Stegostoma tigrinum: one gene and its partner. The protein of the gene in region 2 purifies or fractionates together with the protein of the main gene of each other region. This does not show direct contact. Links are inferred from orthologs where the notes say so. Each region holds a gene or a part of one and is shown on either strand. Other genes may lie near its edges.

Evidence for each region.
Region 1: the proteins of exocyst complex component 6-like (region 2) and exoc8 purify together in Homo sapiens (affinity purification with mass spectrometry; 4 studies listed by BioGRID and IntAct, counting the BioPlex papers as one, with this or other methods). This does not show direct contact. The link is inferred for Stegostoma tigrinum from reciprocal best matches to the Homo sapiens genes EXOC6 and EXOC8.

What each region holds. Positions count from the first base shown.
Region 1 is NC_081357.1:94,381,262-94,388,387, reverse strand, and holds exoc8 (exocyst complex component 8), read left to right. Parts: upstream 1-4,032; 5' UTR 4,033-4,225; coding exon 4,226-6,430; 3' UTR 6,431-6,687; downstream 6,688-7,126. Other genes in the region: DNA-dependent metalloprotease SPRTN, read right to left, coding at 2,632-2,731, 3,294-3,538. UniProt on the Homo sapiens protein: Component of the exocyst complex involved in the docking of exocytic vesicles with fusion sites on the plasma membrane.
Region 2 is NC_081373.1:42,065,455-42,073,442, forward strand, and holds the start of exocyst complex component 6-like, read left to right. Parts: upstream 1-4,986; 5' UTR 4,987-5,107; coding exon 5,108-5,232; intron 5,233-6,996; exon of another isoform or gene 6,997-7,263; coding exon of another isoform or gene 7,264-7,361; intron 7,362-7,988. UniProt on the Homo sapiens protein: Component of the exocyst complex involved in the docking of exocytic vesicles with fusion sites on the plasma membrane.

The DNA of each region.
Region 1 (7,126 bases), on a different chromosome or scaffold from region 2:
AGAGGAGAAAAAACACTGGCTTTCAGAATTCTCCAAGCTCTCTAAAACCATCATGTGACTAAACTTATGACATTTCCAGCTAATATTCCTGGCAAGAATTTGACAGGGAAAGGCACGCCTGACTGAAGGACAGTGGAGAAGGCACTAGACATTCCAGAAGACATTTCTAGTTGTAAATTGAGAGATTAAGTACTTTTTAATTAAATTTGATTTATAAGTGTAGGACTTCTATTTACTATAGCATACCAATAGAATTTTGTCTTATCCTGGAATAGTTTCTAGTTCAGGGGGGACAATTGTTCAGTTTCTAAGTAGTTATGTTTATTTGTTTATGGTTCGAGTAGTTAAATTGTTACTTGCTGATCTAGAGTGAGACTGTCAGGACCTCATTTCATTTAACCTCCCCTTTATAACAGATTGGGCAGTGAGAGGCAGACTATCACTTTTCACACTTGCTCTAAGAAACGAGGAGGAGAGGCTATCTTCTCTAGGGTGTTTCGGTTTCAGTTAGTTATCAGAGGCTGGGGTGGGGTCAACCTCTTTAATAAGATGTATCTATTGTTCAAGTATTCCAGTTAATTAAGAGAGGTCCTCAATGTGTAAAAACACACCTGAGTAATAGAAACATAATGCAATGGGTATGCACACATACTTTAATTACAGAATGAATTAAATTACTTAAATATGATGCAACCTTAAGACAGTCATCTCATTTGCACCCTCAACTGATTACTTGTACATTGCTAAGACTGCAATAATACAGTAAACCTGTTACTTAAGGGATATGACTTGCTGGTTTTATCTGAGATTGCAGTTAAAAAAGATATACTAAAAGCTCCAAGGGAATTTGGATTTAAGATGGTTATTTGGCCTGGAGCAAGCTGGAAAGAAACCAATATTGATGCAAACTGCCTTCAATGGATGCCAATACAACCATTTAAAAAGCTCAAACTGCATGAAATCTGTATGTACATCTGAGGTATAAAAGATGCTCACTTTAAAATAAAAATGCCCCACTTTATCAAGTTAAAAATCCATAGTTTTTGAGACTAAAAGTAGTTAAGGTCCAAACAAAAAAGTAGTCATGGCCAAATTTGAGATTTGCCTCACTATTACTGACTGGGAGTTCTACTTCAGCTTTTGAAGTCTCCCAGAGATTACACCAGGCATACTTGCAACTGAATTCGCTAAATATTCATCGTACTACCTTTCCAAATGTAACCACTTTTTTGCTCCGACCTGTTGTAAGTTTGAAACCCTGTACAATTATCCTCTTCACTAGCAGAGTGCTCCACTGTGTGTAGCAAGTGAAATTCAGCTAGGATTTGATGCAAGATACTTTCATTACTTCCGGTTAAGACTGATTTAGTTGCTTCTGTGATTCCAGTTATCTGGGATGCACCTCTTCCTGGTTATGGAAGGATAAGCAGCATGACTGAGGGATTGCAGAAAAGATAGAAATCCTCTCTACAAATGGTAGAGTTACTAAAAAGAAGTTTTCTTCAAGTTATCAGGCTTTTCATGTTTGCACAGGGAAGCATCACTTTCATCCCCAAACTCCAATAAAAATATAATAAAAATAAAAACTGCAAATGCTGGAAATCTGAACAGATTTGTGTTTTCAATAACACAAACAACTTGAAGAAACATAGGTCCAGTGACATCTGGAGAGAAAGCAGAATCAAAGTTTCAAGTCCAGTGACCCATCTTTCAAAACTACCAGACCTGCTGAGTTTCTACTGTAATTTCTGGTTTGTTATTATTGTAAACAAGAGTCTGTTTTGGCTTTCCAGCATCTGTGGCCCTTTGGCTTGTGTTTCCAATAAATACATAGTTTGCTTCATCGCTAAAATATTTTCATTTCAGCCAGCTCAAACAAGCTAGACAGACACCTCAGTCAAAATCAAAAAAGCTTTTGCTAAGCAGAAGCTGTGCAGCTTAACCCCACCAGTTATCCTCAAAAATGTCAATTTATAGGATAAATGGACATGTGGGACAAGTAGCCAGACAGCAAGAAAAATAGTTTACGTTCATAGATTTTTAAATTCATTTTCTTCAGATGTCCCTCTGCATCAGTCATTTATCTGAAGTTACAATATGGAAATCTACCACCTTAGCAGAGAACACGTTACTGTCACTACATCAGTGATTTCTGAGGTAATGCAAACCTGATACCCTTGGAATTTCAGAACTATAAAAACTTTCAACAGAGGGAGCAGCCTTGAACTTATTACAATGCAAGGAGGGTGGGAAGTATATGGACCTTCCATCATTAACACTATCCTGAAGAAAGGATCATGTTCCACAGAAGCATCCTTGCAGAAGAAATTCCTAACCTGGGGGAGATCAGTGCAGTTAGGACCACAGATTCACCAGCCACAATTTCTAAAAAAAAGTGTTGCAAAGAGAACACAGTCACAGGCTAACTAAATTACAGAGTATGTTAACAGGCTGAACTGCCTACTTGTAGAGTAGACTCAATTGACCAGGCACACTTAATGCCAGAACAGAGGCTGCAAATAATGTTTGAAGTTAAGTCTGAAGTGAAATCAGAATTTTATCAGCACACCAGCCTACTTCTTGTAGGAAGGAAATACCAGAGGTCACAGTATTGACACAATCAGCACATACCTCAACCAAGTCTCGCCTGGGTCGCAGTTTCAGCAAAGGTTCACTGATACGTATAGAACACAATCCTCCTCTGCCCTCATAGCTGCACACACCCGCACAACTGTAACAGATCCACAGTAGGTAAGCTCAATTTATTCAGCATGAGAAACAGCAAGTAGCACAAACAATCAACAAGAGTGAAGATTTAATGCAGATGTCAAAAGTGCATTGTCAAGTCTATCCAACTTTGTTTAGAGCGATTTTTTTGTAAAGGAAAAGATGGCAAAAATTGAGATTCAAGATTCCAGATTCCCTCCTTCAATGAGCAGGTCTTTTCAGCACATGCAAGAAAAAAGTACAGCTATTATTTGTAGAGATAACAGAGTGGAGGTGGAGGAGCACTGCAGCATCAGAAGAGCAGGCAAGATGCCATTTCGGCCCCTGCTTTTCTGGTGTTGCCTGACCTGCTGTGCTCCTCCAGCTCCACACTGTTTTATCTCCGACTCCAGCATCTGCAGTTCTCAGAGTCAGCTATTATTTGTGCCGTAGTCTTCTGGATTGGATATTGACGCTAAGTTTTGTTGACCGGCTTCAACAAGGAGACAGGGGAGTGGGATATCGCGGGAAGCACCGACTCCCCTTTCAGCAAACCGCGGTGAAGCCGCGGCCTATCCACAACTCACAGAGTCATCCGCGGGCTCCAGCGAACCTCCACCCCGGACAGCCGGCCCCAGAAATACAAGTCATTAAACTGCAGGAAGAGGCCGTGCAGGTCGGGGTTCGGGTCGATCAGCTCCCAATCCGGGTCCACCACGGACAGAGACGCCGGAGGCTGCGGGACCATACCAGGGCTCGAGCTGGCATCGCTACGGTCCTCCTCGTCCCAGGAGGCCTGCAACTGAAGCGCCAACAACAAATCACCATCCATACCGCTCAGCACCGCCTCCTGCAACCACCCAACTGACGTAGACAAACGGAGGTAGGGCCTCTCCCTTTACTTGGCGAATCACATGATGGAGCCGCAAACATAACAGCCAATGGCAGCGCAGGATGATACCACGGGCCACCCAATGACAAATCAGAATGGGACTACCAACGTTAACCAATGCAAAGTCAGCATTGGAGAAGCAAATCAACAGCCAAGCACAAAAAAAAGCTCAGCAGGTCTGGTCATCTGTGAAGAAAAAGATCAGAGTTCCGGTGACTCTTCCTCATGCAAGCGCACAATTAAAGACAGACAGCCAATCATGATCTAGACAGCTGTCAGAGCGACGAATGGGACTGCGGGTCACGGGGAGCACGGCAACCAATCGGACGCCGGAACCGCCACAGCGTGGCCAATAGGAGAGCGGATTACTGCTGGCGGCGCACCAGTCAGAAGTCAGTATTGGCGCAGTGTGACCAATGGGACTGCGGGTCGTTGCTGACGGCCAGCCAATTGGAGGCTGCAGATGAGCGGCGGAGCCCAGGCCTCGGTAGTCGTTTGGAGGAGCGACCTGACGCAGAGAGCAGGGCCCCCGAGCGTGGAGGCCGGACGGGAGCAGTTGTGAAAAACCCGAGGGCGGTATATATTGTGGTGGGGTGGCTAAATCAACCTCCCACCGGCGGCGGCAAGATGGCGGCGGACGTGGCCTCCAGGCTCCGGCGGCAGCTGGAAACCCCCCGCTTCGAGCCGGCCCAGTACGTGAAGCAGCTGTCGCAGCAGTCAGATGGTGACCGCGACCTGCAGGAGCACCGACACAAGATCCAGAGCCTGGCCGATGAGACGGCACAGAACCTGAAGAAGAATGTCTACAAGAACTACCGGCAATTTATCGAGACGGCCCGGGAGATCTCCTACCTGGAGAGTGAGATGTACCAGCTCAGTCACATCCTCACCGAGCAGAAGGGGATCATGGACGGCCTGACCCAGATGCTGCTGACCGCCGACAGGGAACAGCAGCAGCAACAGGGATCCCGCCAGCTGCAAGCCTCCATGGGCACGGCTGGCGGGACCTCATCGTCCTCTCTCGGCTCCTCCACCACAACTACCACCACCACCACCACCACCTCCACCTCCTCCTCCTCCGAAGCCTTCCTTATCCTGCCCCGGGAGGCCGAGGAGCACAAGCAGCGCACCCTCACCACCCTGCTGGAGAAGGTGGAAGGCTGCCAGGACATCCTGCAAACCCCGGGCCGCTACCTGGTCTACAACGGTGACCTGCTTGAGTGCGATGCCGAGAGCGCAGCTCAGATCCAGAGGGTGCACGCTTTCCTGATGAACGACTGCCTGCTGGTGGCTGCCTGGCTGCCCAGCCGCCGCGGGGCTGTTCGCTACCGCTACGACGCCCTGTATCCACTGGATAGCTTCGCCGTGGTCAATGTCAAGGACAACGGGCCCATGCGGGACATGTTCAAGATCCTCATGTTCCCCGACACGCGGGTCTTCCAGGCCGAGAACGCCAAGGTCAAGAAGGAGTGGCTGGAGATCCTGGACCAAACCAAGAAGAACAAGGCCCTGACTGAGCGCTTGGAGGTGGAGAAAGAGGAAGCCAAGGCCCGGCTGCTGGTGGCCGAGGAAGAGAAGCAACAGAGGCCTCTGTCACCGAAAACTAACCCATTTGAGGATGAGTCTGATCCAGCCATGGAGTTGGTGGACCTGAGCCTGGAATGGATTCAAGAGCTGCCCGAAGACCTGGATGTCTGTATTGCTCAGCGGGACTTTGAAGGCGCTGTTGACTTACTGGACAAATTGAACGAGTACCTGAGTAGAGCAACCAGCCAGCCCGCGGTGCGCCAGCTGAGGAGTCGTGTGGATCAGCGGGTCCGCCGTCTGACTGATGTGCTGATGTATGAGCTATCCCCTGGCCGCTCGCTCCGAGGTGGTCCACGGGCAACCCGCCGTGCTGTTTCTCAGCTGATCCGGCTGGGTCAGTCCACTAAAGCCTGCGAGCTCTTCCTGAAGAACCGGGCAGCTGCAGTGCAGACAGCAATCAGGCAGCTGCGCATCGAGGGAGCTACCCTGCTGTACATCCACAAACTCTGCAACATCTTCTTCACTGGCCTGCTGGACACGGCCAAGGAATTTGAGATGGATTTTGCTGGTGACAGTGGCTGTTACTCGGCCTTTGTGGTGTGGTCACGCTCAGCCACCCGGCTGTTTGTGGATGCCTTCAGCAAGCAGGTATTTGACAGCAAGGAGAGCCTGTCCACCACAGCTGAGTGCGTGGAGGTGGCCAAAGAACACTGCAGCAAGCTCAGTGAGATCGGCCTGGACCTCACCTTTACTCTTCAGGCACTGCTCGTCAAAGATATTAAGGCAGCCCTGCACAGCTACAAGGGCATCATCATGGAGGCCACCAAGCACAGAAATTCAGAAGAGATGTGGCGAAGAATGAACTTGATGACACCGGAGGCCTTGGCAAAATTGAAGGAGGAGATGAAAGCCAGTGGAATCACCAATTTTGATCAGTACACTGGAGATGACTGCTGGGTCAATCTCAGCTACACCATTGTGGCCTTCACAAAACAGCTGATGGCCTTCTTGGAGGAAGGGCTGAAGCTATACTTCCCTGAGCTGCACATGGTCCTTTTGGAAAGCCTGCGTGAGATCATCCTGGTGGCAGTGCAGCATGTTGACTACAGCCTGCGCTGTGAGCAGGACCCAGAAAAGAAAGTCTTCATTCGTGAGAATGTTTCATTCCTGTATGAGACTGTGCTCCCTGTGGTGGAGAGACGGTTTGAGGAAGGAGTTGGAACACCAGCCAAGCAGCTCCAGGATCTCCGCAATGGATCTCGAATCATTCGTGTCAATCCAGAAAGCACTAATTCATTTGTATAAACTCTAGGAGCACTTACAGATAAACCAATGATTGCAGACATTCCCTGCACAAGCATACACTTTTTTTTTATTAATTGCTTCAACACTAATGCTGCATAAACATTGTTTGTGGGACTCATCATGAACTCGCTACCTTAATAAATATACAACATGAAGATCAATGTTCTCCAGTAGATGTGAGCTGCCAATTTCAATTTCACCTGTCCTGTATTTTTGTGTCCTGTTGTATTCCACTAGTAAAAGCACTTGTGGCAGTATTGGTATTTGTTTTAATCAGAACACCGCTATGCAAGAACAATTGAACTTGATGAGAAAGTCTTTGCTGTTCAGCTGATCAGAATTCAGCATAGGAAGATTACATTTGAATTCTAAATGCCAAAACTGGGTTTTTTTTTAAAACTTCTCAGAATTATGGAACACTTAAAAAGAGTTTCAGCCTTTTAAGTCACAGGGAAGTACATCTATTTCAGCAACGACTAAAACATGCGGAGACCGCTGTTTCATAGAGTCATGGCATGTTGAACGCAGAAACAGGGCATTATATCTTAAAGTATGCATTGATGCTACTCTAACATAGTGTCACCGTCCTGACCAAGTCTGTTTTCAACCAACATGTCCCCTTTTAGTTTAATTTATGGCAAAGAATTGTAGGTTGTAACTAATCCCAATGTGAATGATTATTTTTCTAACATCTGA
Region 2 (7,988 bases):
ACATTCAGCTGAGCATTTGATAGCTTTGAATGCATGAATTGGAGTGGAGAGGCCAAAGAAAGATTTTCAAGCTTTTATCCCTAATAGGTTTAGGCTTTGTGTTTTATACATTTCCTAGCCAAGTACATGTCTGAGAGTATGTATTGTGATTGTTACAACACATTTAGAAAAATCTGTTGATACTTGAGAACCAGAAATCCCAAGGTAGTCGCAAAAGTTAAAGATTCCATCAAAGTATACAAAGTCTCCAACTTACCTATCTGATGGACTCAGATTAAAAGAAAACTCCGAACAGATTTCCTCATCTAAGAAGAATTACTATTTGTTACAAATACATAAATTCTAAGCAGAGGCAAATAGCTATGATCTATCAACATATCACTCCAGTAGTTAAACCATTCACCCTACTTAAAATGCCAACACACATGCAAACAGACAAAGATAATGGTGTTCAGAGATAATGGGAACTGCAGATGCTGGAGAATCCAAGATAACAAAGTGTGAAGCTGGATGAACACAGCAGGCCAAACAGCATCTCAGGAGCACAAAAGCTGACGTTTCGGGCCTAGATAATGATGTTACAGGTAGTGGAAAATCACAATTCAATAGCATCAATCACAGGTTTTGATGAGGTGTTCCTTTTTATTCCCAAGACCTCTATTCTGCGTAGTCCTTACTTCCTGATTTTTAGCTCTTTGGCAAAGGCAAAGGAAATTTATGCAGTAATTATTCAATTTCACTGTCTTTATTGAGAGGCAGCACCTCAAAGCTAACAGTGGACAGAATTACTGTCTTCAGGTTTGACTTACTTGCTGCAAAGATAGCGAGGTTATCCCTCCTTCTTCCAGTCTAGAGACCTTATGTGTCTCTGAGATACACATACCTACACACACAAACAGCTGTCTTCAGACTGATTTTCACAGCTGATCACAATTGCACAAATCAGTTAGCTATCTGATGCTAGCCGATCCTAGCTCCATACCATCTTATCTCACCTCCCCACTGCTTGAAAAGTAATAGTGTAAACCAACTGACAACAAGTTCAAAAAAAATTCCTTCCCCAGTCAGACTGGGGTGTTTTTGAGATCTGTCTCCTTGCCCTACTTGTGATAGAGCTTGCGAGTATTCTCCTGTGTTTCAGCAGATAATTGAAGAAGAAAGGCTTATCTAAGTATTGGTGGCTGCTGATTCCATGGAAAGTAATTGTTTAAAAGCCAGAGTTGGAAGCTTAAACATCATATTTCCATTTGAGCCTCCTCCACTGAAGCAACATGTCCAGCCCAGCTTTCCATTATGTACAACAGTAACCTCTACAATGTTGCCAGATCTGTTTTTTCTCCAGCAACTTCTGTATTTGTTTCAGATCTTCAGCACCAGCAGTTTTGTTTTATTTCAGCAAACTTCTTTCTTATCTGCAGCTATGTTGAAATGGCAATGAGTAGCTGCAGTGACTTGATCATCCACATCCTGCCATGCAGCTTGCAGTAGGAGTTACTTAGTATTACAGACAACAACGTTATGCTCATGTCTGCTCTGAACTGTTGTAAACAAATTGTCCCCTTTTCTGTCATCACCACAACATATCCTTTAAATGGTATGTTTGTCACCCCTTAAGAGCTCATCAAAATGATTGGAAAAGCATTAGACCCCATAATGGTGGTTTGTGATAAAGACCAAAAATATCCTTAAGATTTCTAACTTACATGTAAAAGCCTTGTTTTTTGCAGTCCGCAGTTAAACTGTGCTTGCTTTTACAACTCTTTCAAAATGTTAAATCCAGCTATACACAGTACTTGTACACAACGATAACAGTTTGCATAATGTCTTTTTTTATCTCTCCAGAGAGAATGTCATTTTGCAATTCCATTCTATACAGCACAGCAGATGTTGCCACTGAAGGCCGATGAAAGACACCACACGGCCAGGAATCATTACTCATGGTCACGGAGAAGAAGCTCACCCAGAGAAGAGAGTCTATATCTTGTTGTTGAACTACAGAAAGACCCATCACCCAGATGTTATATTGTATTATGAATTGCTAAATTTCTGGAAAACCAAACAGAATTCTTTACACAACAGAATCCCAGGCAATAACAATTATAAAATGAAATTGCCTATGAGAAATAAATTCCTCAAACATTAATTAAAGCAATAAAAGATATATTTTACTGCTGTACTGCAAACATGCTGACATTCTGGTAACGTGCTTCCCTGGGATAACACTTTCTCAAATTGCACTATCTACCTCAAAACAGTGGCTGCAACTCTACTAGATTTCTCGTCTGAAACTAGATGCTTTAAATGCAAATAAAAAGCAGAAAGACTGAAAGAACAGATTTAAAATCACACTGCTGAATAGAAAAGGCATTGCTTATATATGTTTATGTATATGATGAGTTTTGCTTATCCCGCAGCTACTAACAATAATATAAAGTAAAATGCCGAAAGAAATACTGACCTGACTTTTGAATATTTCCAGCATTTTTTGTTATAGTTTTAACTTTTCAGGATATGTGACATTTTATTTTAAGAGTTACCTTGCACTGAAAGGAGACTATGGGTGGAGGAAGCTTTTCTGGTAACACTGAAAACTGACTAAGGTTATAAAATGTGCCCAGAAAGCAAATTTCAAATCTGCCCACATCAGAGTTATGTTTTTCATATTGCCAAGTTCATAGAAGGCAATCTCACCTTACCATCTTAAAGGACACTCAGAGTTAGATCAAGATCTGTCTCTAGCATTTTACTCCACACTTAGGATGCCGTAGCCCTGCAGCATCCCTGAAACATTATGGACATCAAAGTCACCTACTTCAGACTCCTGCTTATTGACTACAGCCCCCCTCCAGATTGACCTCAAAACTGTGTGACCTCAGTCTCGACTCTGCATTCTGACCCATAGGCTGCACTCAGTGAGGATAGGTAACTGCATCTCCTCCACAATAACACTCAACACTGGGGCGCCCCCCCCCATGGAAGCATCTTCAGCCACCCACTGTACTCCCTGTACACCCGCAATGGTGTCGCCAAATTCTGAACAAACGCCATCTACAAGTTCGCTGACGACACCACCATAGTCAGATGCATATGTAACAATGACGAGTCAAAATACAGAAAGGAGGTAGAGGGGATTGGTGATATAACAAAGTGTGGAGCTGGATGAACACAGCAGGCCAAGCAGCATTTTCCTCGCACAAAAGCTGACGTTTCAGGCCTAGACCCTTCATCAGAAAAGCTGATGAAAAAGAAGGGGATTGGTGACCTAGTGCAATGAAAATAATCTGTTTTTCAACGTGAGGGAAACTAAAGAACTGATCATCGACTACAACAAGAAAGGAGGAGAACATGCCCCCATCTACATCAACAGAATTGAGGTTGAGAGAGTGAAGAGCATCAAGTTCCTTGGAGTGATGATACCCGACAACCCTGGGTTCCCACATAAATGTGACAGTCAAGAAGGCATGACAATGCCTCTTCCACCTCAGATGGCTCAGGAAATTTGGCACATCCATAAGGTCCCTCGCCAACTTCCACAGATGCACCATTGAAGGTGTACTGTCCAGGTACAAAATGGCCTGGTATAGCAACTGCTCTGCCTAGGACCTTAAGAAACTGCAGAAGGTTGTGTGCACAGCCCAAACCATCATGTAGGGCAACCTTCCATCCGTGGACTTAATTTACATGGCATGCTGCCACGGAACAAGCAACATTATCAAAAACCCATTGCACCCTGGTAATGACCTCCTACAATCTCTTGCGTGAGGCAGAAGATGTAGAATCCTGAACACACACACACACACACACACAAGCAGGTTCGGGAACAGCTTCTTTCCAGCCATTATCAAATTGTTGAATGGAATCTAGCCTCAAATAATGTAACCTGTATGCCTCTAACTATTTTTGATATATATATCCTTTGCTTGTTGTGATCTGTCTGTACCACTCCTAATCAAAGTTTTTCACTGTATTTCAGTACAGGTGACAATAAAATCAGAATCAAAACTTCTGTGTGAATATAAAACTGGCATTGTAAGAGCAATCATTAGGAAGCAGCTTGTCTTATTGCACAATGGGAAATTGTGTAGGTTTATATCCTTATCTATGCCAGCTGTGACTCAGTGATAATGCTCTCCACTGGGATTCAGAAGAGTGAACGTTCAAGTTCCACCTCTGAGAATTTATCCAAAATCAAGGCTAACGCTCAGATGCGGTACTGGTAGAAGGCTGGGCTGTCAGAGATGCCGACTGGGCATAAGACTTTCAACGAGACTTGATCCAAAGCTGCAAGTTCACTACTTATCAGACAAACATCACTAAAATAGGTTATACGGTCATTGTCACATCGTTGTCTGTGGGACCAGCTTGTTCAAGTTGCACCTGCATTACTAATGAGGCAACATTGTGAAAACGGTTAATAAGTGGTGACTGGGGCACTATATAAACGTAATGCTTCCTTTCTCTTTGACACATGGTATACAATAAGATGTATCACAATTCGTCATAATTTCACAGCTCTAACTCCGTCATAAGCCTCCCAATACACAGACAGAATTTTAGGCTAAAAACGAGTTTGTGAAACGTGATGGTGATTTCTACAATGATCAACCGAGTCATTCCCAATGCAATTTGAAGAATAAGTCGCTGACAGGTTTCAATATCCGGAAGTATTTTCCTGGAGAAATAGTCTCTTAATTGTTAGTTTCTTCTTAATTGTTATATTAGACCATTGTGACGACACTGGGGAATCCTGTATCTTGCTTACTTACTATTCTATAAAACGATGAGAGAGGAGCGTTTTTCAAATGTGTTGTAAGGAAAGTAAAAGTCGTCCCGTTGGTGTTATAACAGGTTAATCGGAGGGACTGTGAAATATGATAGTCTTTAAATAGCCCTGTGCTATAAATAAGTTATCTCCAGTCACTTCTTGCGTTGATACTGTACATAGATCGTCTTTTTGTATAAAATAGTAACAGCTACATTTAGACTGATTGCTCTATGATCACGAGATCATTATTGTCGTCGGCAAATTTTTTTTTGTTGTTGTCATTCCTTCGGTTGAGTCTACGAAAATTTCGTTCCAAAACCCGGGGACGAAAGCATTGGAACGATGGCTCGGGTCAGCAAAACAGTTACTTCAATCACTTCTAAAGAGGAAAAACGTGAAAGCCAAATTTATGAAAATGTTTTTTCTGAGATCGAAACGTTGGAGTTGCCACTTGGTACGAGCTTACGGTAGGTTACCTGGCTTTCTACCGTCCTATTTAAGCTCTCTATAAAGTAATAGACTTTTCGCTGTTTACTTTTCCAACTGCTACTTTTGTAATGTAACAGCGAAGTAAAGCGGTTTAATTTGGGACGGTTGATTGTGGGGCAAAATGAAATTCCAATTGCCTTGTTTAGTAATCACGACTATAAAACTAGATCAGGTTGGTGAGTGTTGCTAGTAAAAATAGGCAGTTACGAATCGAACAGCCTCGTAAGGAGTGATAAAAGTGAATTGGTACATCTTTTATGACTTCATTTTAAAAACAAATGACTAGCTAAAAGTGAAAATCATCGTCGTCTGGATAACGAATACTTCTATTACACTTTTTTAAAAAAGTAGTTCGGGGGCTCTAGCCAGGCTTAGAGGTGTCTGTGAAATACGACATGGCTCCGAGCTAGTAAAATTAGGTTTGAAACATTTTTTAAAAGAAAACTGGCAACAGATGTTGCGAGACCTCTCGAGTTTCTACAATACTACAGAATCTGTAGTGTTTTCTTTGTTAATCTTTAAAAGTTAGTTTTGCGCCATTATCTCCTGCGTTCGCTGCTGACAACTACTTCATAGCAATTACTTTGTGCCTTGCTCTAATTTGCATAGCAGTTCAGTTTGTGTTGAATTGAGTTCTAAATTGTAAATATTTCACTGACCTGTAATAGTATCAGGTAATGAGCAAAGTCACGAGCGTGATTACGCTTAGTTTTTCCACCTATGACCTTTTTATGCCCGTGCGAGCAAGTATCTTTGCCGCGCAGTTTAACACTTCTTTTCGGTCGTCTTAAATTTGCATTTTTAATTAATGAGGTGGATTTTGACCCAGGAGTTTACCTACTGTATATCCATTGTGAGTTTCCACTCCTAGTTAACTGCGCTCATGTTTTTTAAAATACACTATGTTCCTGCTAAGAAACGTCTCTTGGCTTTTGGTGAACGGGAAACCAATGTGTTCTCACCGCGGGTTTTCTGTCAGCCAATAAGAAATTTTAGTATGGAACCAAACACTGTCCAATGCTCCCTTTTTTTGGTCAAGAACTAGCTTGACAGGGGAATGCCTGCAGTTCTCCTCTTTTTCGGTGACGTTTTAAAGATCAGAACCTGGAAAATGCTGACAAAGAAATGATGCCACTTCGACTGGCACAGTCGTGCTCAGCTGTCTGTGACATGTCTGCGTGGATGTAGTCAAACGCTTGCAATCTGGCATTTGCGGTAAATAGCTTTCTGTCCACGAGGGAACGCTACTTCCCACAGCCGCAATTCTACTGAATCTGCTACTCTTAATGCTTTTAGCATACTTGTCTAGCTTCTGTTACTGAAGCCTGGCTAAAAGCATCACAACTTGTTTGTATTCTGCAGTACAAGCTCAGTCCCGGAATTCAGAAATTAGTTAAGTGGGGTTTGCACAATGGGACTGTGTGCAGTTGCACTCTTCAGAGCCTTCCACAAACAATACGAAGGGCCCACTCGTTCTCATTTGAAGCGCTTTACCACCAACCTGATATCAGCCCCGTGCTGTTCGAGACTCGAACACGAAAGGAAAGCTAAAGCTCCTGTTTGGCTTTCGAGCAGCTTAAATAAAAGTTACTACCACCCAGTACTCGAATGTAACTTGCAAGAGGCCGCGCGTCAGTAAACGTTGACGATTTAAAGCGAAATAAAATGGACATTTTTCTATATCACACCAGACAGGTTACGATTTGCCGCAGGTAAAGTCGGGCATAGGCGCGCGCGCGCGTTCCCGCGCGCCGTCGGGAGCGCGCTGACCGGTCACTGTCGGGGATGGGCAGGCAAATGAAAACGGCGGTGGAATAAAAGCAGGCCCGGAAGCGGGTTTGCCAGCGACGGGTTCCCGTTTGACATTAGTAGAGCAGCCGCTAGCAAAACCGAGCACACAGCCACCCCGCCGCCGCCAGCAAACCAGGGCCATGAACCGCTGTTAACCGCAGTAACACTGCTGCCTTCGCCCACGGCCTTGCCTCGCCTCCACAGCCGGGGCCGCTAAGATGGCAGACACCGAGGCCCTGGAGACGGTGACAGAACATGAGCGGATCCTGCAAGAGATCGAAAGCACGGACGCGGCCTGCGTGGGCCCGACGCTTAGGTAAAGCGCCTCTGCTTCCGGTGCCGGCGCTGCCCTGGCACTGGCGGCAGTTCGGGCCCTTTAGCCCGGCTGGGCCAGTATGAAGCGGCTCCCGTTCCGTCTCTGCTTGGCTCTGGGCCTGGAACTACTGGTGCTCCTTCCGCAAAAGTTTGTGCGTGTGTGTTTTCTTTTGTTTTTATTTGAAGGATGTGGGACAGCCGCCGGTTTTCCTGCTACCGCAAACTACAGAGCATGTGGTGGGCAGGTCCTGCATCCCGCACCCTCCATTGCCATGGAGCCTTCTGCCCACCCGGGGGGACGTGCGACATTTTCCTGGTGCCTTCGTATTCGCTGTCACTGGCGCAGCACATTTACAACTTGTCCTGCGTCTAATCGCTCTGTTTGTAGGACTGTGTGCTAGTGTTGCGACTATAAGGTCATTAGTCTAGAAAAATTGTGCAGCTGCTACTTCTCCGTTCGAGATTACAACAGTGAGACTGCCTCACACCCAGGATTATCATTTGTTACAGTATGATTGGGTGTAGGTTTTTGTGTAGGAAGTTCTGCCTTGTACTGTTAAGTGCAATCCACCTTTTGTTTTTGGCACGAGCAGGTTACAGAACGCTCCATTCAGTAGTTTGTGTACTT